Rattus norvegicus: one gene and its partners. The protein of the gene in region 1 purifies or fractionates together with the protein of each later gene. This does not show direct contact. Links are inferred from orthologs where the notes say so. Each region holds a gene or a part of one and is shown on either strand. Other genes may lie near its edges. The genes, in order: Smad2, Tgfbr1, Smarcc2, Usp15, Skil and Smarcc1.

Region 1 (4,115 bases):
TTCTTAGTGTCATAGGAGCTAACACAGCCCATCCGTCCCTCCTAGTGCCGTCCTTTACACCTGACAGAGAGCAATGCAAATAGCTTCAGGAAGTGGCTCTGGATGAATTATGAGTGCTCAAGCTCAGCTTATGCTCTGACATAATTAACCTCCTTACTTTGGGGCCTTTGGCCAGAAGACACAGGATTTTTATTTTCCTAATTCCACTGAGAAGTGTTGTGACTAGCCACAGAAAGTTTATTGTGTAAGTACGTATTACTTGTCCAATAAAGTGATACTGAATTCTTTATAGTCAGTTTCTGATACACCTTTGCAATACTTAGTAGAAAACTTCTTTGCACTCACAGAAACCAAGGGCCTAAAAATGTCTCTTCTGCTTTTACCCAGACAAAGCATCTAAAAAGATATGCCTCTCTCCACCCTCTAAAAAGGATTCTTGTCCCAAGAATATGAATAAACCTCCATCTGCCAGACTACACTATATACAGCTCCTGCATGCATTACAAAAGCACCTGGATAAAAAGGCTGCTGCAAACGTGGTTTCTGGAGTCCAAAGTATTCAGCCAACAGCATCCAAACCAAGCACGAAGGGAAACGGTTAGGCCCACAAGTCAAATCTAAAAACCCAAAAGGTCCTTAAGCACCAGTTCATGCAGCTAAACTACTTACGTTTGCCTGTGTGTTCACTCAGCCTCCCTAATGATAGTACTGACTACTGCAGCATCATCCTATATGTATACACAAAGGAAAGGGCTATACAGAAAACCATCCCCAACAGTCCTAATATGAGTTAAACCACACAACCAAGCCCAACGGGAAGTTACTCTGCAGTTTCTCCCAACACTGACTTTATGAGCCACACAGGGTGCATAGCTATTTACTGACAAGTACCTCAGAACCCCAAAGACCAAATTTTGCAGAACACTCTCAATATGAAATCACTTCAGGTGTACCTACAAAATTGCAACCAACAGTATTAGAGTAGTGTCTTGCTAAGGAACACAAGGAGGTTTATAATCCTAGTCCAGTGATTAAGCCTGGCCAGGGAGGACCCTAAACGTAGGTAAGTCAACTATTTTGTAACATTAAGCATGTACCTGGGCACTCAGTTTAAAAATGTCCTAAGACCACAACAAATTCTCTTACCTCCACAGGTAAGTTTATGCCAAAATAATTTTTAAAAATAACATCGATGTTACTTTATGAATTCAACATAAACATTTGCTAAATGACCTAATGAATTAGAAAAAAATCTCTTTATGACTAAATGGGAGAGGGATAAAAACCTTAAAACTATAATACATTTTGCTTCTCTCATGTCTGGATTCCATCTGCTTCACTAACTCATGGATTGAAACTATTCCAACTTCGTTTTAACTACTTAACACTTCTTTGTAAAGGGGGAAATTGCTTTTTACAGGAACCAAAGTAAACTAATAGGAAAGATATTCCCAGCATGGCAGCAAATGTATTTGTGTTAGGCTCAAGAGAAAAATCCTTTCTATTAGCGGTATGGGGTTAAGTCATGGAATTAGAAATAAGAGATTTTGGAAACTGACATTCCAGGGTGCCATTTTTGTAAAGATAACCTTCAGGTTACATTTATTTACATATGTCATTTCATTAGTTAAGAACACCGCCGTTTAGAATTCCCCAACAAGGCATAACAATAAGGTGGAATGCTGCTGAACTATTTCACATGTTTTGTTTTGTTTTTAAATTGGTGTGACAACAAACAGGTAGCGTTTGCCTTTAAGTGTAAAAGAAATGAATAACAAAACCAACCTCGATTTTTATTTTTCTTTTGTTTAGATTCACAAGGAAACCCTAACCTGCAAGGGTAAGAGGACAAAAGTACCTGGGGCCCAAGGACAGTATTCCTAGAAGAAAATAATCCAAGCACCGACTGTGAAAACCAAGTCTGAAATAAGTGCACTCAATTAGCATGCTTCCTAAAGGCGTGTGATTAGAAACTAATAGGCAGTACCCACGGAGCAACTTTCCCAAGTGCGTGGAGGATGAGCCCGGCAGCCTCAGCCACGAGCGTGTTTCTGAGTGCACACTATGATTCGGAACCCACGACTGTTACGGTTAACAAAGGCCACAGGAAAGAAGAAAAAAAAAAAAAAAAGGAAAAAGTAGAAGCAAAGTACCACACGCCCCTAACTCGGCTCCGGAGCCATTCTGCAACGCAAAGCGAGAGCGGCCGCGAGCCGGGACAGAAGCGGGCCGCAGCCAGGCTGGGCGGGGCGGGGGCTCGGGGCCCTGCCCACGGCGCCGACCCCGGCCCGCGCGCCACGGCCCGCCACACCCCACACGGGCAGCCACGTGACCCGGCCCCGCACACCCCTGCCCGGTCCCCCGGGCGCCCCGGCTTTACCTGCACCCAGCGCCTGGTCCCGGCCCGTCCGAGCCGGGCCCCGGACCTTTTGTTCCTTCCTCTTCCGACGGGCTCCGCGCTGCCGGAGGAGTGGGCGCGCGCAGGCGGAACTGCGCCGCGGGCCCCCGCCCCGCCCCCAGGCCCGCGCTCACCGCGGCCGGCTGGGGAGGGAGCCGCCTGCTCCACTCGGCGCGGCCCCGCGGCCCGGCACTGCCTGCACCCCGCGCCGCCGCCGCCCTCCGCCCCGGCCGCCGCGCACCTACCTTCGGGCGGCTCGCTCAGCGCTCGCGAGCTGCAGGCGAGCGAGCTGCTCCTCCACCGCCGCGCGCGGTAGCCCCGCCTCCCTCCCCGAGCCGCGGGCCCCGCCGATTCGCCGGCGCAGCCCCGGGCTGGCACCCTGCCGCCCGCTGATTGGCGCCCGCGGCCGCCCGTTAGGCGTGAGGCACGCCGGCCGAGCGGGCGCGCACGGAAGACGGAGGGAGCACGGCAGGGACGGAAGGAGGCCGGGCGCCGCGGGCAGGGCCGGGGGCCGAGCGGGGCGCGGGCAGGCGCGGGCCGCCGCCTCCCGCCTCCGGCCCGACCGGCGGCACGCGCAACCAATCAGCGAACGGGGAGCCCGGGGTGTGAGCACCGCGTCGGGGGCCTGGAATCGGAAGGGAAACGTCGCTCGCTGATTGGTTCCGCCTTCCCCGTCGAGCGTGAGGCGAGGCGAGGCCGGGTTGGGTGGCACGCCCGCGGTTGCGCTTGAGTTCGTGTCCGGCGCGCTCCCACCGGGCTCCGGGAGGATCGCGGAAGGCCGCGCAGCGTGCCACGCCCGCAGACCCCCGCCCTGGCGCCTCTGGGTGGAGCGCCGCGGCTAAGCCCTCGCCCACCTCCGTCGTGAGGCCGGAATGGACACGTGCTCGGGCCTGGGCCCGCCCCCAGCCGGGTCTGAGTCGCTGGACTGGCAAAGCTCTGGAGAAGCCAGGGTGCTGGCCGCTGAGGGGCGCGCCCTATGCAAATAAGTGGGCGGGGCCGCGCCCTGGGGGCGGGTGGCGAAAACTGCGGAGCTAGGGTTCTTGTCCGTGGGGTTGGTGTTAGGGCTGGGCCCCTCCTTGGGTGTGTTTCTCCAACCCGAGCCGTAGGTTCTTCTGAAGTAGAACTATTAGTGATAGCTGGTTCGAATGCTCATTGTGAAGCATGAGCAACTATGAGTGCTCCTTGATTTGCTGGCTTCTCCCTAGCTCATGTCCCTAACTGTGCCCCTGTTCCTAGACCCGTACTTCTCACCAAGTTCCCAAATTTAGGACTACCCGCAGTTTGATTTTGACTCAACCCTGGCAGATGAAAGACTGTGTTAGGATAATAAACCTAAATTTGAAATGCCTCTTTCAGGTTGCTAGTGGTAAAGAAAATACCAGAACGCAGTTTGCTTGGCTGTTGGTCATGCCCATCTATACTTAGCTACCTCTTCATAGGATTCCTGGGAGAGGCAAGTTAGTCCAGCAAGCCTCATGAGCACGACAGAGGAGTGCAGGAGTAACAACACAGTGTGCGAAGCAGTTAGGAGTGGAGCATGCTCTCTCCTCAGATGTGAGGGCATCCAGAGCAGGGGCCTTTATGTGGTCCTTGAGTTGTTTGCCCTTCCCTCCAGACTTAACAGGTTTTTAGATAGGCTTTCAAAATCTCCACCACTCTTCTCATGGGAAAGATGTAGCTCGCCCCAGATGCAAGCCAGTCATAGTTTCAAATGCAG
Region 2 (4,027 bases), on another chromosome or scaffold:
TCCCTCCCCCTGCTTCTATGAGGGTGCTCCCCACCCACCCGCTCCCCTCCTGCCTTCCCACCCTGGCATTCCCCTACAACACTGGGGCATCCAGCCTTCACAGGACCAAGAGGCCATAGCTTCTTAAACTGAATCCTAACTCCTTATAGAGGTGCTGGGTCATACAACAATCTGGCAATACTCAAGGACTTCTGAATGTATAACACTCCAAATTAATTAAAAATCAAATGAGTAATGAATCTGAAGTGTTTCTGGCAATGCATGCTTGTGTTACATGATGCAACTTCACAACACCCTTGGTTCTAAACACACTTGCTGTCGTGTTATGCAGTGCTAACATTTATTTTTATAAGTTTTAATGTTTTTTATTAAATAAAAAGTTTTCTATTCTTCCAGAAACATACATACAGAAAAGGCTTTCATCCTTCATGTATATCAAAGTGGTATATTTGTGATCGATTGTAGATCGACTGTATTGTGTTAGAATGTCTGATTTTAAAAACTGCTGTTTAAGTTGCTGACTTAAATTTCATTTTAAAAATTATTAAATGAGGTCTGGAGAGACGGCTCAGTGGTTAAGGGCATCGACTGCCCTTCCAGAGGTCCTGAGTTCAATTCCCAGCAACCACATGGTAGCTCACAGCCATCTGTAATAAGATCTGATGCCCTCTTCTGGTGTGTCTGAAGACAGCTACAGCATACTTATATAAATAAAAAATTATTAAATAAATTTCATCTTGTGATTAAGAGAGAATTTTCAACAATGTCTGAAATGGCCCTAAACAATTATATGGAGTCGTTGGCATTGGATGATTTAATTCTTTAAGTAAAAATAAACTCACCCATCTCATTACTATGAAAATGTGCTTGAATCTTTAATAAATAGTAAAATTGTATGTACCAATGAATTGTTTTAAAATAATTTCATTTATGATCTATTATCAGCACATCTGAATTATATACTTGCTTTCTACATTTTGTACTCAAGGTCACGTACAATCTTTTGAGAAAAGAGGATGGCAAACGGGGAAAGTTTATGAAGTACTAGTCTAGGTTTTGAGTAATAAAATCCTCCAGGACACGGACCAACCTTCTCAGCATCTAAGTCAATACTGCTAAATGCATGAACGTGTCTTGCTTTGTTTTAGGTAGAAAAGAATTACTTTATTCAAATAATTGTAGAGATATGGCCACTTATAGTTGGTGAATAATTATAACAATTCCCCCACTTTGTCCACCGTTATTCCCTTCCTAAGCCAATGTCAAAAACCCATGGTATCTTCTAATGAAGACCTTTGTGAAGGGAATGTTCAAGTACTAGGTTGTTCAAGTTCAAGTAAACTAAGAAACTGATGGCTAAGTTCTAAGTGTCAAATATCAACTGTTCTTTAAGTGGGCTATGCTACGGTATAGCAGGTGCACTGATTTTGAGCCCAGAAAGGCCTAAGTACAAATTAATTTCTGCACTTACTAAGAACGTAATCTCCTGCACCTCAGTTTTCAAGTCAATGTACAGGACAAGTACTGGTAGCCCCGAGGGTTCTGTGCCCCGAGATACTGTGCCTTTTACATCTGCATTATAATCAACTCCCAATAAACAGTTACTATTAAGTTTAATAACAGCTGGCATCCACAGTCTGGAGAGATTTTTGTTTTGGTATGCTTTGCTTTTTAAAATGTTATCCAATTTCAGCAACAGACATGTATTTTCACTGTATTTTAGTTGCTAATCTGAGCCTCAGTATTTTGCTTTCTCCTATTTTAATCGGTTCCGGACTAAGTTTTTCAATCTTCCCTCCACGGGGTGACAACCGTATCACGGCCGGTTTTAATATTTTGGAAAACTACACATTTTCCCTTCAAAAGCCAGCTACATAGAGGTCTGATTTTAAGACTACTGCTTAAGGAAACGATACACCCAAAGCAACGATCCCGTCGAGAAAAAGAAATCTTTGATCAATTCTACAGAATCATTCCCATTCAAACGATCCCAAGTCTGCAGAGTGAGCAAACGTTCAAGTTTCTACTAGCAAGGCAATCTTCTGGTTACTGAACTCTCAACTCTTCCCAGACGCACGAAGAGAGAACATTCCGCGCATCTTCGCGCCTGCTTCTCACACAAAGCCCCCGGTTGAAGAAAAGTCGCCCTAGGCGGGCGCCGACACTCACAGCAGTGCGGCCCACCCGGGATCTCTGCCCACGGCGCCCCTTACGACCCTCCGAGGAGCCCTCCACGCGCCGAGCCCCGGAGCGCCTCCACGCCGGTGCCCGCCCACGCCCTAACAGTCTCAGGCCGGAGAGCACTTAGGCAGTGGAATCAGGGGGCCACGGTCCCCGCCGGCCTCACACCCCCGAGGGCAGCCACAGACCTCAGCAGGCTCGCCAGCCGCTGCTCCCGGGAGCCCAAGAGGGCAGGCCTCCGCTCGGTGTTCGGCCACCCGCGCTCGACACCGCCCCCGCCCCGCCTCTCCTCCCCGCCCCGGCTCGCGTGGCGCCTGCCGGGTCAGGAAAGCTCGGCCGGCCCGGCGCCGCCACCTGCGCCCCCGGCCCCGCGCCATGTTTGAGAAAGAGCTGAAGCGAGCCAGAGGCCGGGCCCGGCTCGCGCGCCCCACAGCCACCCGCCCGCCACTCACCCTTCGCCCCCGGGAGCAGCGTCGCCGCCGCCACCAACACGATGAGAAGCAGGCAGCGACGCAAAGCAGCCGACGCCGCCTCCATGGTCCCGCTGCCACTGTTTGTGGCCCGGCCCGGCCCCGGCCTCAGCTTCTCCTCAACAAGCCTCGCCTCTCCTCGCCCCACCTCCCCGCCGCCGCTGCGGCCTCGCTCCGGCCCTTTGTAACTGCTCGAGGGGCGCACGCCCATTGGCTGCCCAGCTCCCGCCGACCCCGCCTCCCCCGCCGCCCGCGAGCGCCCTAGAGGGACCCAGCGGAGAGCCCCGCCCTCGGGGCCCCTGGGCGGCCAATGAGCGGCCCTGGACTTCTGCCTCTAACCACGCCTCCGCACTGCTGGGCCTCTGGCCACGCCCCCTCACCGCTGGGCGCCTATACTCCAGCCACAGCAGGGTAGCTCGTACTCTACCGGCGGGTGGGGGCAGGGTCCAGCCTGCGCGCCCGAGGGAGCCCGCAGTCCGGACTAAGCGCTGGGTGTGCCCGTAAGAGTTGCTCAGGGAAAGACTGTGGACGTTGCTCGCTCTTTTCTTCTACTCCAACCCCACCCTGACTTTCCCTGCACAGTCCTGCACCGGCAAAGCTCAACTATCGCCACTCCGACCCTCAATACGGTCCGCGGTTCAACTTCTTCTCCCTAGACCCGCTCCTCAATTCCCAGCCTCCCCGCAAAGATAACCCGATTTCTTCCCGCACTCTATGGCCGCCCCAGACCTAGTCTTGCCCTCCTCAAATTCCAGTCCCAAAGTCGGAGCCCAGATTCTGAATCCCGAGGCGGAGCTCAGACACACCCCTGAGTGGCCTGTGTCTCTCGGCAGTATAAACAGACTGTGGGTCCCCGCCGCTCTCCTTCCCTCCCACCTTCCTGACCCCGCGTGGAAGCGGAGAGGCCTACGGGTTTTGAATGATGGGGGATTCGGGGCGAAGCGGGAGCAGTCATAGGTACTTAGAGCTGTCTCCGACACGCCTGTGTAATAATTTCGAGGTGTCACTAAAAACCCAAATAAACTCAGCTCCGCTTTCATTCTGAATTCCTAATTTACTGTGAGACGCTCCACCCACCTTCCCTCTGGGATGCCAAAATGAGCTCCAGATTTGTAATTCTTCCTGTCAGACTAGTCCTTTCTTCAGACACAAACACAGTCACGGAGGCGGCCGCATGGCACCGACAGCATTTTTCCGCAGAACCTTTTAAGGAGAAAATTTTATTTTCTGTATGATTTGAACTCGGAATTAAATGAAGCTCGGTAGTAGGAACCAGCCGGCCTCTAGTATCTGTTAGTAAATTGTTTTACAGCCACTCTCCAAGAGTTTGATCCTGCTTATGAAAGCAAACCGTGGGGGTTAGAGCTGGGGTCTGA
Region 3 (3,875 bases), on another chromosome or scaffold:
GCTTGCTGAGGGCAGAAGTTAGCAGACTGTCCCACTGTCAAAAGTAGGTGCTTAAGTGCTTTTCAAAACTCAAGGGTTGCAGACTCCCCATCCTCTTAGAGCTCCACCTTTGTTTGATGCCTGTTGGGCACTCAAGATACAACCAGGAAAGCAGGAAGAAGAGCCCACCTGAGGCCCCTTCTTCCTCTATTACCTACCACAGAATCCCTGCAAACTACATTTCCCACAAGTACACAGACGCTGACAGTGAGCAGGTGACTTAAAAACAACACGAGGCTGACACTCAGAGGGGAAGGTCATTGGCTGAGCTGGGCCTAACAGCCACAATGACAAGCAGCAGGAGGGATTAGTTTGATAAAGTGGAATGGGTGAGGGGCTGACTCAGCACTGCCAAGGGGCTCAGACAGGCTTGGTGCCCTGTTCCATCTCCACAGCCTGCCCCAAAACTTAATTCCTCTTAAAACGTTCCCTTTCCCCTCAAAAATAAAAATAAAAAGTTCTTTTTTGTGGTCTCAGATGTGTCTTTTTAAAACCTCCCTTTTAAAGGGTTTCATTTTCATGTTATCACTTCAAAACTGCAGTAATTCTGAAGGTACACCCTCAGAACCAGTAATAGAACCTTGAATAAACATCCTTCCCTCCTATCCTCTCTCCCAGGCATTAGAAACATCTTAGAAGTCCGTGGATAATATTGGATATAAAACTGCACACCTCTGCTGGGCATGTGGGGTGGTGAAGGGGCAGGAGCTTTCCTTACGTAGTGATGAACTCTCCAGGCTGAGGGAGGGTCCCAGTTGTGGGGGAGGGTGGTTCCTGGACTGTGATCTCCATGGGGAGTGAGGGGAGATAGCTGGCTGGTTCCTCACTGTGGGGGTGGCACAGGGGTGACTGTGCCTGGGCTCGGAGCTGTGGGGTCTGGAGGCAGCGGGGTGCCTGGGTCTGTGGAGAAAAGGAAGGTAAGTGAGCTGGAGCCTGCAGAGGGATGGCTGCAGTCCCAGGCTACACACACACACACACACACACACACACACACACACACACACACACACAGACCCAGGCATGGCATGCAGGGGTGGGTGGATGAATGAGGTACCCACTATGTATAATTTCTTCTTCCTAACACTCTTCTCTACCTGACACTGGGAACTCCTTATTCCCCAGACCATCCTCCTCTCCCTAAGGACTCTAAGTGGAGCATCTGCATGTGGTGGAAACAAGCAAAGGGCAGCCATCGCCATGCAGACGGTGGCCAGGCTCCAGGTTTACAGCTGAGGTCGTCCTCTGAGCCACTGGGCTCCTCCACGACCCACCAGTGAAAGGCCCCGTCAACCCAGAGGTGACAGCTGCCAAGTTGGGAAACGGAGGACTGCCAAGAGGCCTTTCTTCCTCCCGTGCTCTAGCCCTTTCCTTCCTGGCCTCCCTCCCACAGTGTAGAGCCCTCCCTCTCCCTCACCCTTCCCCTCCCGGCCCCTTCTCACCTGGCAGTGGGCTGGCACTGGGCAGGAGGCTGCCCTGAACAGCAGCCACAATGGCAGGGCTCTGGGCTGCGGCCGATCCGAGCCCCGGCCCGAGAGGCAAGGAAGATGGCATGGTGGTGGTCGCCGGCAGGTTAGGATGTAGAGGGTTCGCCATGGACACAGGCAGGTTAGGTGGGGGGATAGTGCCCGGGGCAAACGGGAGATGGTGGTGACCATGCAGGTTAGGAGGGGGAAGGTTAATACTAATGGAGTCGGCTAGACTACCGAATGGGATGATGGATGGAGCAGCAGGGGGAGGAAGCGGCAAGCCGAAAGGCAAACCCAAAGGAGCATTACCCGCCACGCCTGGGTGCCCGCTGCCTGGCACTGCCCCTGGCATCATTGAGGGAGGAGTTTGTTGGTTGGGGAACGGTGAGGGGCCTAGAAATGAAGAGAACACAGGGTGAGGGACTGGAACCTTGCTCAGCACCCGCTGCACAGCCACCGCTGGTGCCACCCCCTTGTACTGAGACTAGAATAAGCAGGAGATTCTTGGAATGAAACTCCACCAGGTATCTGTTTGGAACACATCCCTGCTAGTTGGGGGACATAGTACAATGGAGCCCACCTGTAGGACCTGCAAGAAACTTTTACATCCGAGTCATCAGGTGGGTGTCCCTTCAGAGGGACCAGAACATCTGCCCATCTCTACAGCAAACAAGTACTCTGGAACGCACACTCACCATGGGGTCCAGGGGGGGGTACCCCTGGTGGGACTGCCCCAGGCTGAGGGGCTCCAGCTTGTTGTGGCTGCTGTGGCCCTGCAGTTGTCCCTGCCTGCCCGATCTGTTCAGAAGGGCCCAAGGTTCCTGGAGGGGCCCCACCGCCAGGAGGAGCGGAGGCCACACTGGCTGGAGCTACAGCTAGACCGTGGACTGTCGCGGGTGCCGCGGCCCCGGTGGGGGGGATGGGCTGGGAGCCTGGGGGCAGGGCTGGCGGCGGCGGTGGCGGCGGCGGCGGCGGCGGCTGCTGCTGCATCTGCTGGAAGTGTTGCTGCCGCGCCCTCATCTCTGCATACTTCAGCTGCTCCATGTGGAAGGCTTGCCGGTCGGCCAGGAGCTGCTGCCTCTGATATTCCAGCTGCCGGTACCAGTGGGAACTGTTACCGGGTACCAGAAGACGTGGGCAAACTCCCTGACCCACTTCTTCTTTTGAAAGAGCCTAATCTCATGCTAGTGTTTCCCCAAGACTCAACCATGTGCTTCCTCTGCCCTCCCAGGGACGGAGACCATTGACATTGCTCCTCGCTGCGCTGCAGGAGAGGTAATCCGCTGTGGTTCCGGTTCACTTCATTTCAAAACTCTGAACTTGTTATTATTCTGATTTGAAAATGCCTCGAGCTCCTGTCAATTCAAGTTCTTTCCTTCCTTCAAAATCAGCTACAAACTTAATTATTTGTTAGGGAGACACTTCGCTGGCCTCTGAATTTTGACTTTATTCTGATTCTCCCAGAATTAATTTTATTTTTATACGTTTATTGGTTTTTCAAAACTGGGTTTCTCTATGTGGACCTGGTTGTCCTGGAACTCATTCTGCAGACCAGGCTGGCCTTGAACTCACAGAGAGCCACTTGCCTCTGCCTCCTGAGTACTGGGATTAAATCTCTTATTTTAAAAAGTTATTTTTGGGGTGCTGGAGAGATGGCTCAGCAGTTAAGAGCACTGACTGCTCTTCCAGAGGTCCTGAGTTCAATTCCCAGCAACCACATGGTGGCTCACAACCATCTGTAATGGGATCTGATGCCCTCTTCTGGTGTGTCTGAAGATAGCGACAGTGTGAATATACAGTGAATATACAAAAAATAAACAAATCTTTAAGAAAAAGTTATTTTAATGATGGATATGTCTGTCTGTCTGTCTGTGTAAGGGCATGTGCATGTGAGTGCGGGTGCCCATGAGAAACCCCTAGGGCTGACGTAGGTTCTCTAGAACAGCAATCTGTTCTCAATCGCAAGCTACTCCACTAGGACATCTCCGAATCTGAATTTTCCGGTAGTTTAAGGATCTCCATGTTGTATATTTGATGTTTCTAAGAGCAGGGTCCCCATGCTGTATTTCTTTTTCAGTCCTCTCTTTTTTTTTTTTTCCCCCCTCCGGAGCTGAGGATCGAACCCAGGGCCTTGCGCTTGCTAGGCAAGCACTCTACCACTGAGCTAAATCCCCAACCCCTTCAGCCCTCTCAAAGAAACTGAATCAATATTGTCTGTCTGTTCTGTCTATTTCCCAAATTTACCTGCCGGGTCTCTTACTATCTCTCAAATCCACTCAGTCACTCAGGTTTGTGAGAACCTAGTGAGAGGCAAGCACCGGTGGAGGACCTAGAGGTGCAGCGGCCAGAAAGCATGACTAGCATCCCACC
Region 4 (2,598 bases), on another chromosome or scaffold:
TAAGTGTGGCTCATATTTAAAACTATTGTTTATTGTTTCTTTTGAGAACTGTTCACTGGCCCATTTATTGGTTGACACTTTTGTTGTGGGGGTTGAATTTTTGTAGTTCTTTATTTAGATTTAAACCCTGTTTGAAATATATGTAGTAAAGATTTTCTCCCATTCTGTAAGCTGTCAGTTCATTCTGCTCATTAGTTTCCTTTGCTCTGCAGAACCCTTCATCTCCTGTAGTGTCCTATGTTCATTCTTGGTAGCCTGGGCAATCTTATAAAGTGATAAAGGAGCCATGAAGATGCTCAGTGGTTAAAAGCACTGGCTGCTTTTCCAGGGACCCTGGGAACTCTTCCCAGAAACCAAATGACAGCTCACAACCATCTAACTCCAGTTTCAAGGGATCCAGCGCCCTCTTCTGGCTTCTATAGAACCAGGTTTCTCATTGATGCTCAAACATACTTGCAGACCAAACACCTATACAAAGTAAAAACAAATTTAAATAAATTATAAAAGATACACCTTTTATTGGACACTAGCTCTCAGTCAGGACATGAAGCTTCAGCCTCAGTTGAATCCTTCATAGATAGGGGTGGGACAGGTGGTCATGCTCAGGTGCACCAGGCCCTCCGCGGTGACCCCTCTTTGGTGGTAATTGTATCGATCATAACCTCTATGCAAACCTCCAGCAGTGCCGTGACGGGGTAAAGTTCCACATCAGTACCCAGCTTCCAAGTCTAATCAACAAGCTACTTCTCCTCCAGTGGCTCAGGCCATGCCACCCTGCAGTCCTGGGTTAGCAAAGCCCAGTTGCCTGCAAGGGCTGCTGGGAAGGGAATGCATACCCTTGAAAATAGTCCTTTGAAATGAGTATTTTCAAGTTGGGAATGGTAGCACACACCTTTAGTCCCAGCACTCGGGAAGCAGAGACAGGCAGATCTCTGAATAGGAAGGCAGCCTAGCCTATAGACTGAGTTTTCCAGGACAGCCAGGGCTACACAGGAAAGCATGACTCAGAAAACCAAAAAGAAAAAGAGATGTCTTTCGCATATGTGAATTATACAGGAACAGGTTTCTGTATGACATTTCAGGGGTGTGAGTAGTGTCCTTCGGTAAGCTTTATTCTCTGGACTTGTCCCATCTACTCCTGCCCTTTTCTGTTCCTGATTGTCACTTTTGTACTTTCTTTTTTTTTTTTTTTTTTTTTTTTTTTTTAAAAAATCAGTGTTCTCCTAATAAATACTGGAGAAAAGTTCAACATGTTTAACCACCTGAGGAAATGTTATATAACAGGAAAAGTTGCACTAGAGGTCCAGCATAAGCTGAAACACTTGTTGTTAGATAGAAAGATACTCAACCTTCAAGTAAATAGAAAAACTATTGTGTTTTATATTATGGTAAGTATGTTAATTTATATTTTGACTATATATATTTCTTAGTCCAAATTATATAGAATTAACCTGTTTATTTTTAAATATAGAAATAATAATATTTAGCCAATTTTAGTTGCTTCCTTATGATCATGTGTAGTTTTACTATTTGTTTTTTTGTCACTAAAATTGGTTATTAGCTAAAACTTTGTGCCATATCAGCTATGATTTTTGTGTGTTGCCACCATTGACACACCTTACTTGTTCAACAGTCCAAAGCAGCATACGTGCTCTTCTACCAGAGACAGGACACTTTCAGTGGAACTGGCTTCTTCCCTCTCGACCGAGAAACTAAAGGTGCTTCAGCTGCCACAGGTGTCCCCCTGGAAAGTGACGAAGACAGCAATGATAATGACAATGATCTAGAAAATGAAAACTGTATGCACACTAATTAATGAAAGTCCAAGAAGCCATACGAGAGAGAGAGAAAGAGAGAGAGAGACTTTCCTGCCGGTGGTATCTGTGGAGACGGAGTTACCCACCGCATTAAACAGAGGTCTGAGAGGAGGCGTTTCAGATACCCGAATGTAAATCCTTTATCAGATTTTAACTTGTGCAGTACTTGAAGTGAAACACAATGAAAACTTTAACAGAAATTGTCTCTTAATACATTTACAGTCTTGTATTTACAAGCTAAATATATATAGGAAATCACAAATAAATCCCTTTTAAGTTTGCTGCTGTTTTGATCAATTATGTTTTCTTTAATTTTTGGATGTGACTTAATTGATGACAAATGTTAACTTTGTGGATGTTGGTCATTAATTTTGCTCTAATAATACTGCAAGGAAACTCTGGCTGAACTTGGTTCTTGGGTAATCTAGTCCTGTGCGCTAGGCTGGCTGTCTGCACCTCTCGGGTACTTAGCTGCTGTCAGTGTGGCCCAGACACTGCAGTGCCCTTGGTACACCAGATCTCCCAGTCTGTCTGTCCCTGGTAATCAGTGTGGGTCTGTTACCACAACCCGAGGAGCAGCCTTGAGGAAGTTCCCTTTTGTTGTATCATTAAAGTGCAGAACATTACGTTTATCTCGCTCACTGTGGGAACACGTTCTAGATTTCACATGCCATCAAAATCATTTTCAGCTACATGTAAGTATCTTTCACTGCAATTGGAATCTATAAATTTTTCAATTTTGTTTTGGTTTAAAATGCTTATCTTCAATTCACTGTTGGTT
Region 5 (4,004 bases), on another chromosome or scaffold:
AAATTCTCGGAGAACAGAATTTAAGACTTGGGGCAAACACAGTCTCTTTTCTCCTCCGACTTGAAAACAAGAAATAGACTCCCCTTCCAAAACAGTCTGAGTGAGCTCTGTGGAGCTATCAGAAGGAATAAGAAGAGGACCAGGAAGAACCTGAGGAGACGGAAGAGGCAGGAACACAGTCGGTGACATGCTTTCTTGGGAATATCGAGCAGAAAAAGCTGCTGGTCCACCCAAAGAGCTCTGACTACTTAAATGGAATTGTGCCAGTGTGTGTTTCAGACTGGGGTTTAAATTTAAAGTTTCAGGTAGAGAAGGACAGTTGCGCTTGGCGTGCTCGCCATCTGGTTCCACTGACGCATCTCCGTAGTCGTCCAAATGCTCCTTCTTCACCTGGGTCAGCGTTTTCCCATTGGCATGAATGTCTGTCATCATTTTTTTCACGGGAGGACTGCCATCATCCTCCATCCCGCTCAGCTTTTTATTTGAACCCTGAACTAAGGAGAAATTAGACTGCAGGTTTTCCATGGCCACACCGGTGTTTTTAAATAATTAAGTCTTCAATTGGCATGTTGTTCTCAGTTCCTAATTTGAAGAGAAAAAGGCAACGTATACAAATACTTGTGACTCACTTAGAAATGTTTAGTTTCCAAAGATGAATTTTCTTGCTCAATAGATTGTACAACTCTGTTTCGGTTCAGCCGTTTCTCAGGATGTAACTGAAAATACTACAAAACTTCTCAATTCGCTTCTAATAACAAAGGGTATAATTGTCAGCACACCCCTGAGAAAAGTCTTGTTTTCTTGAGCACTTCAGCTATTTATGTTAAAATAAAGCTAATTCCTCAGTTCAAGAAGTCCAAAGTTTGGTATAGTGGTTGAGTTTGGTTGGTTTTGTTCTTTAAGCAAAGCATGTGGAAAGTTTATGCCATGACTGTATCCTGAAACTACACCCAAACACGAGTTACAATGATGCAATGGTTTTAGTTTTTGCCAAGAACACCAAAAAAGAAGAGGCAGGTATCCTCACTGAAAATGGTGGTCTGTGGCTCTGTGCTGACAAACTGAAGACTTGTCTAAATCTCCACACAGCAGGAGCCTGGCTCCACCTGAACTTTTATAATTAGCAATATACATACACTAAGTAAAAAAGCTGCCCAGTTTATCTTCAGGGATTACAGTTCATTCTTCTTTTAATTGATCTGGAAGAGAAAGGGGTGGGGAGAGTTACATTTGAATTAGCTCCAGAGGCCAAAGGGTCTGTTTAAAACCAGTTTCTTAATCTTAAACTCAGTTCACTTTGCCAAAGGTAACACTTGGGTGGTTTCTTCCAACCTAACACCAGTTATCTAAAAGAAACTTCATCTAAATAGGAAGCAGTCCAGACCGTGGGTAACAGGAGCATTAAATAATATCTCTCCAAACAAGGAAGAGTACACAAATTTAGAATACGGATAACCAAAACGCAGTAGCAGAGGCTTTCTCAACTATGCATGCCATTTAAATTTTAAAAAGTAATCCTTTCTCTTCAGAAAAAAGAACCCTGTAGTTTCTGCTCTCCCCCCACCCCGCAAAAGATACATGTTAATATACCTACCATATGTAATTAAGTCTCAAGCAGATTAATTCATCTAGTCAATATATACTATCTTTTTAAATTGAAGAAGAAGAAAAACTTTCCCTTTAAAAGGTTAGCGAATTTGCTTAATGGAAGCCAAAAGCTGTAAGACTCCATGCCTGGAAATCTCCATCCTTTAGCAAGACTAATCCGGGACAAAAAGCACAAGGCAGACAGACCTCACAAAGAATGCAAATGGAGGCAGAGTGGCGAAAAAGAGTATTCATCCACTTCCCTCCCTGGAGAAAACCCAATAAAAGCCGATAAATAAAAACCTTTGCTTCTAAACTCCCAGCAATTTATGTTAACACAAACCCAGAGAATTACGGACGAAAGCCACCTAGCCACCGTACTGTGACTTTCGCCACTACAGGGACACCTCAGCCAAGGCGAGCCAAGGAAAAGGGCAGGAGGCATGACCTAGACCAGGGGCGCCCCCGCAGCCCTGCGCACACGCAGAGACACCCACTCATCATCAACCCGAAGGACCGGGAAGCAGAGGACTCCCGACGTCTGGTGAGGTGAGAGGGGGCAGAGGAAGTAGGAGTCCTCCCAACCCCCACCTCTGTGACCGGGATCACCCTAAGTGCCCTCCCCACATCGCCCCACTGCGGGGGCCGCCGGTGGAAATCCCCCACGCACTCGGTCCGCGGGAAGTTCTCTGGGGTTACCTCTGCGCCCCAGGGCTGCGCCTCCCCACCACTGACCCACCCTGAGCCGTAACACCCAGAGGGGCGCAGGCAGGTTGGGCGCCAAGCCCGGAAGCCTGCGTCGCTGGACGCTCAGAGATGGGGCCAGCCCGAGGCATCCCCGCCGAGCGCAGACGGCCGGGGGATGGCGGCGATGACCGGTGTCCAGGTCTCCCGGGTCCCGGCGGCTCGGGTCAAGTGCACCGCCATCCCCTCCCAGCCGACCCGTCCTAGAATCTGCGAGGCCTGTACACCCGTGGGACCCCCGCCGCGCGCCCTGTGCCCTCGACCCCGCCCGGGACCCCACGCATCCCGGACGCCCCACTCAGGCCCTCGGCGCCCGGACAGCCCCACGGGCTCTGTGGCCTCCCCATAACCCCCCCGCCGCCGCCTCAGCGCCCCCAGAGGCCGCACGCCCCTCACGTCCCCTCGCGACCTGCGGCCGCACCTGTGCCCGCCGTCGCCGTCGCCGTCGCTCGCCCGCCGCCTTCGCTGTGCCGGCGCCGCTCCGAACCCCACACACATCGCTACACACAGCCTCTGACGTCACCCGGCCCGCGGCCCGCCCACGTCACTGCGGAGACACGGCTTCCCGCAGACGCCGCCGCCGTCTCCGGCCGCCCGGGGGACAGCGAGGGCGGCGGGCGGGGGAGGGGAGGGAACTAAGCCAGCGGCGCCGCGCGGCCCCGCGCCAGCCAGTCCCTCGAGCGCGCGCGCCGTCTGCCCTATTGTGGCTCCTCGCGGTCTGCGCGCTTCAGGCTGCGCGCGCCTCTCCGGCCCTGGCCGGGGCGCGCGCCTGGTGCCTCCGCCGCGCACGCGCGTGCGCCGGTCTCCCGCTCCCCCGCCCCCTCCCGCGCGTGCCCCGCGCTGCTGGCTGGCCCGGCGCGCCGTCTGGGCGGCTGGCGCACGGCACTGTCTGCGGTGCCCGGCGCAGACAGGATGTTCCCTCGGCCCCACCCCCGCCGCCCTCCTTCCTTCCTCGAGTCGCCCAGCCGGCTGTCTGGGGCCGCCCCCGCCACGCCCGCCGCCGTGTGGTGACGGGCCAGACCTGGGGGCGCCCTGGCCGCTGGGCCGCCGCGCGGCAAGGCGGGGGTGAGAAGGCGGAGAGGGGGTAGGGCGCGGCGGGCTGCACTGTGCGCGACCCCGGCAGCTGGCCGCGCCCGAGGTCAGACTCGGCCAACAGCCCCCCACCCCCGCGGCCGCAGCTGGCCGCCTGGCCCCGCCCCGGAGGTAGCCTGCGGGTGGCTCCCCGCCGCGACCCCCGGGCTGAGCCCGCCGCGCAGACGCCCCCGCGCTGCCACCCTCCCCGTTCAGCGCTGCCACCTGCCCCCGTGCTCCCCCCGCGCTCCCTCCCCCAGCTCTCCCCCCCCCCGCCGGCGCGCAGACGTCGCGGGGCCTCTCGCCCCCGTGGGGCCTCCCGCCGCGGCCGCCCTGCCAGCTGCTGGCGATCAGCCCCGCCTGGCCGCGCTGGGGTGGCCTCACCCGGTCGCCTCCCGGGCCGCCATCGCCCGGGAGGCGGAGGTTTCAGCACCGCCGGGGCAGACCTTGCTGCCCCAGCTGCTCTCGTCCTCCATAAAGTGACCGGTTCTAATTCACTAAGCACTTTGGTTGGGGTTTTCGGGCTTTTCCTTTTTTTTTTTTTTTTTTCTTTTTTCTTTTTCTTTTTTTTTTTCCAGAGACGGTAAGAGGTGGGGGAAGAT
Region 6 (3,500 bases), on another chromosome or scaffold:
CTGCACCTATGTCTCTGTGAGGGTGTTGACTCCTCTGGTACTGTAGTTACAGTTGTGCCGTGTGGTTGCTGGTAATTGACCGTTCCTTTGGAAGAACAGTGAGTGCTCTTAACCATGAGCCATCTCTCCAGCCTGGTTTGTCTTTTTTGTGTGGATATTTATGGGTGCTTTTCCTGTGTACTCCATACATGACTGGAGAGGTTGTAGGATATCCTGTTAGAGTTACAGACATTTCTGAACTGCCATTTGGGTGCTGGTAAGAGCATCTAGTTTTAATTGCTGAGCCATCTCTCTAGCATTTATGTTCTGCCTTGAAGAATGTACTTGTATTATTTTTATGATTCTTTGCAGTTGAGAATGAACTTTATACACCTAAAACGTGGTATAGAGCCATTACTTAGTAGGTACTAGAAACTAACGTAGCATAGCTTTCTCTTCAGCATTAGCTATACCAGGTTCTGAATCCATGTCTTTCTTTATCTTGCAGTATGTTCATGCGGATGCGCCTACCAATAAAACACTGGCTGGACTGGTGGTGCAGCTTCTGCAGTTCCAAGAAGATGCCTTTGGGAAGCATGTCACCAACCCAGCTTTCACCAAACTACCTGTAAGTGCATGCACTTGTTATGTAGGGATCTTGAGTTTCTGCTTTTAGGTGTCACTTAGAGTTGATTTCCCTTAGTATTGCCAGGCATCATGGGGGTGGGGAGAACAACTTGTACAGAGGTGTTCGTTGGTTTGTTTTTGGTTTGTTACAGAGCCCTAGGCTGTCCTGCAGCTGTCTGCATTAGAGGCCAGCTATGGACTCTCCTTTCACCTTCACTTCTCCAGCTGGGACTACGAGCTGTGCTGTCATCGTCAGCCTAGTGGTTGGATTCTTGTGGGCTATGCCATTTAACGTCTTACATTCTGCAACAATCCCGAAGATGTAGTATTTCTTTGTTATGGTTGCTCTCTGCTGTGTTGTCTATACTGATACTTGTCTGTTAGAGCTGTGTGCGTCCGTGCGTGTGGATACATGCCTGCCATAGCTGCCAACTCTCAGGAGTCGACTTTTCCACCATTTGGGTCACAGGGAACAAACTCAAGTCATCAGTCTTGGTAGCAAGCACCTTGACCTTCTCTAGCACATGAAGTATGTAAAGGAATTTGTACAGAAGAGAACAGTTAACAGGAAGAGTGTCCTCAGCAGTGCCATAGCCACAGTACTCTAGTGGACAGCCATAGCAAAGCTTGTACAGAATTGGAGGCCATTCTCCTGCTGGTTTTTGAGCCTAGGGCCTTGTGCATACTAGCTAAGTTCTCTAACAGGCTTATGTGACTGGTTAGGATTAAAGGTCTGTGATAATTTCTATACTTCCTTTTTGTTTTGTTTTGTTTTTTTAAAGATTTATTTATTTCATGTATGAGTACACTGTTGCTCTCTTCATACACATCAGAAAAGGGCATTAGATCCCATTACAGATGGCTGTGAGCCACCATATGGTTCCTGGGAATTGACCTTTGGAAGAACAGTCAGTGCTCTTAACCACTAAGCCATCTCTCCAGCACTTGATAACCTGCTTGATAACCCAGAGTTCCATACTTTTCCCTCCCCTCCTGCCCCTCCTGCCAAGTTCCACACTCTTAAAACATCCTTTTATGTTTGCCCTTGTGCTGGAGTGCTTGTATACCCTCCCACAAACAAGTAAATATAGTTTTGTGTTCTGTTTTGTTTTTCAAGACAGAATTTCTCAATGTAACCAGGATGGCCTCGAACTCACAGACATCCACCTGCCTCTGCCTCCCAAGTGCTGGAATTAAAGTCATACACCACCATTTCCAGCTAATAAATACAAATTTTATCAATTAAATTTTTTTCTTTCTTTTGGTTTTTTTGTGTTTTTTTTTTTGTTTTTTGTTTTTTTGTTTTTAAGACAAGAGTTTCCCTGTGTAGCCTTGGCTGCCCTTTAATGCACTCTGTTGACCAGGAGCTCAAAGATTCTGCCTCTCTCTCTGCCTCTTAAGTATTGAAATTAAAATTGTGTGTCACTGGGGCTGGAGGGATGGCTCAGTGGTTAAGAGCACTGACTGCTCTTCCAGAGGTCCTGAGTTCAAATCCCAGCAACCACATGGTGGCTCACAACCATCTGTAATGGGATCTGATGCCCTCTTTGGGTGTGTCCGAAGACAGTGACAGTGTACTTATACATGAAATAAATAAATCTTATTTTAAAAAAAATCGTGTTACCATACCTAGCTAATAAAAATTTTAAATGACTATACTTTTAATTTTTACTTATGTATATGTGTGTATATGTGTTTTATATGTGGCATGCACATGAAATAAATCTAGAATATATACAGCACCATATTATTATTCAGTGTAGTTTATCAAATGTCACATGATTTAGAGTAAAATATGTAAATATGTAAAGTACTTTTTGTTTCTGAGACATCTCTAGCTCTGGCTATTCTAGAATAAAGCTTTTTATTTGCTTTTGTTTTTTTTTAAAGTCTGGTGTAAAAATACATATCTTTAATCCCAGTACTTGGGAGGCTGAGGCAGTTGGTTCTCTGAATTTAGGGCCAGCATGGTGTATATAGTGAGTCCCAGGACAGCCAGGACTACACAGTGAGACCCTGTCTTAGAAACAAAACAAAGAAGGTGTTTATTTTCTAAAATATGATTCTCATTCTTTTGTCACTCCTAATTGTGAGCATGTAAGTGTCATCACTAAAAATGACATAGGGTGCGCTAGACATGGGGTTTTAACTCCTGGGAACTAAGCCATTATTTACTAAAAGGGTTGACTGATAAGAGGAGAATATTTTTAGTCATAAATGATATTTAAAAATAATTCGTGGCTGAGGGCCAGATGACCAGATGTGTTTATTTTCCTCTCAAACTTGAAATCAGCATTTTTCTCAAATGAAAGGTTTTTCTGGTTTGTGATTCTCTTAAAGGAAATTGCAGAGAGAGACAGTGAACAGAGTTGATTTTGCTTTTTGAGACACAGTTTTTGTTTTGTAGCCCTGGGTGTCTTGGAACTCACTCTACATCAGGTTGGCCTCAGATCTCTGCCTCTCTCTGCCTTCAGTGCTGGGATTGAAGGCATGTATCACCACTACGTCAGCCCTGCCCACTATTTATTTACTTTTAAAAACTTAAAATTTAAAAATTTTTAATTATTCTGTATCTGTCTGTCTTGAGTATAGGTTTGTGTGCTCGATTGCAGGGTTTGTAGAAGTCAGAGGAGAGCCTCAGAGCCCTAGAATTGGAGTTTTAGATGGTTGTGTATCGACACTTGGGTGTTGGCAACCTCAAAAGTAGTAAGTGCTGAGCCACTTCCAGCCTCGTAAATATGGTTTTATTTTATTTGTTCATTGTTATTTGAAATAGGATTTCTCACTCCCCAGCTGTAAATATAATTTTTTTAAAAGATTTATTATGTATAAGTACATTGTAGCTGTCTTCAGACACACCAGAAGAGCGCACCAGATCTCATTACAGAAGACTG

What was found.
Region 2: the proteins of Smad2 (region 1) and Tgfbr1 purify together in Homo sapiens (affinity purification with western blotting; 8 studies listed by BioGRID and IntAct, with this or other methods). This does not show direct contact. The link is inferred for Rattus norvegicus from reciprocal best matches to the Homo sapiens genes SMAD2 and TGFBR1.
Region 3: the proteins of Smad2 (region 1) and Smarcc2 purify together in Homo sapiens (affinity purification with mass spectrometry; 3 studies listed by BioGRID, with this or other methods). This does not show direct contact. The link is inferred for Rattus norvegicus from reciprocal best matches to the Homo sapiens genes SMAD2 and SMARCC2.
Region 4: the proteins of Smad2 (region 1) and Usp15 purify together in Homo sapiens (affinity purification with western blotting; 4 studies listed by BioGRID). This does not show direct contact. The link is inferred for Rattus norvegicus from reciprocal best matches to the Homo sapiens genes SMAD2 and USP15.
Region 5: the proteins of Smad2 (region 1) and Skil purify together in Homo sapiens (affinity purification with western blotting; 8 studies listed by BioGRID and IntAct, with this or other methods). This does not show direct contact. The link is inferred for Rattus norvegicus from reciprocal best matches to the Homo sapiens genes SMAD2 and SKIL.
Region 6: the proteins of Smad2 (region 1) and Smarcc1 purify together in Homo sapiens (affinity purification with mass spectrometry; 3 studies listed by BioGRID, with this or other methods). This does not show direct contact. The link is inferred for Rattus norvegicus from reciprocal best matches to the Homo sapiens genes SMAD2 and SMARCC1.

What each region holds. Positions count from the first base shown.
Region 1 is NC_086036.1:72,124,029-72,128,143, reverse strand, and holds the start of Smad2 (mothers against decapentaplegic homolog 2), read right to left. Parts: upstream 2,801-4,115; 5' UTR 2,644-2,800; intron 2,566-2,643; exon of another isoform or gene 2,381-2,565; intron 1-2,380. UniProt on the Homo sapiens protein: Receptor-regulated SMAD (R-SMAD) that is an intracellular signal transducer and transcriptional modulator activated by TGF-beta (transforming growth factor) and activin type 1 receptor kinases.
Region 2 is NC_086023.1:66,448,171-66,452,197, reverse strand, and holds the start of Tgfbr1 (TGF-beta receptor type-1 precursor), read right to left. Parts: upstream 2,801-4,027; 5' UTR 2,719-2,800; coding exon 2,634-2,718; intron 1-2,633. UniProt on the Homo sapiens protein: Transmembrane serine/threonine kinase forming with the TGF-beta type II serine/threonine kinase receptor, TGFBR2, the non-promiscuous receptor for the TGF-beta cytokines TGFB1, TGFB2 and TGFB3.
Region 3 is NC_086025.1:1,490,503-1,494,377, reverse strand, and holds the end of Smarcc2 (SWI/SNF related, matrix associated, actin dependent regulator of chromatin, subfamily c, member 2), read right to left. Parts: intron 2,598-3,875; coding exon 2,201-2,597; intron 1,899-2,200; coding exon 1,479-1,898; intron 940-1,478; coding exon 863-939; 3' UTR 501-862; downstream 1-500. UniProt on the Homo sapiens protein: Involved in transcriptional activation and repression of select genes by chromatin remodeling (alteration of DNA-nucleosome topology).
Region 4 is NC_086025.1:60,643,111-60,645,708, reverse strand, and holds the end of Usp15 (ubiquitin carboxyl-terminal hydrolase 15), read left to right. Parts: intron 1-1,633; coding exon 1,634-1,816; 3' UTR 1,817-2,098; downstream 2,099-2,598. UniProt on the Homo sapiens protein: Hydrolase that removes conjugated ubiquitin from target proteins and regulates various pathways such as the TGF-beta receptor signaling, NF-kappa-B and RNF41/NRDP1-PRKN pathways.
Region 5 is NC_086020.1:114,200,773-114,204,776, forward strand, and holds the start of Skil (ski-like protein), read right to left. Parts: upstream 2,801-4,004; 5' UTR 2,753-2,800; intron 1,200-2,752; 5' UTR 526-1,199; coding exon 1-525. UniProt on the Homo sapiens protein: May have regulatory role in cell division or differentiation in response to extracellular signals.
Region 6 is NC_086026.1:118,992,556-118,996,055, forward strand, and holds part of Smarcc1 (SWI/SNF complex subunit SMARCC1), read left to right. Parts: intron 1-487; coding exon 488-607; intron 608-3,500. UniProt on the Homo sapiens protein: Involved in transcriptional activation and repression of select genes by chromatin remodeling (alteration of DNA-nucleosome topology).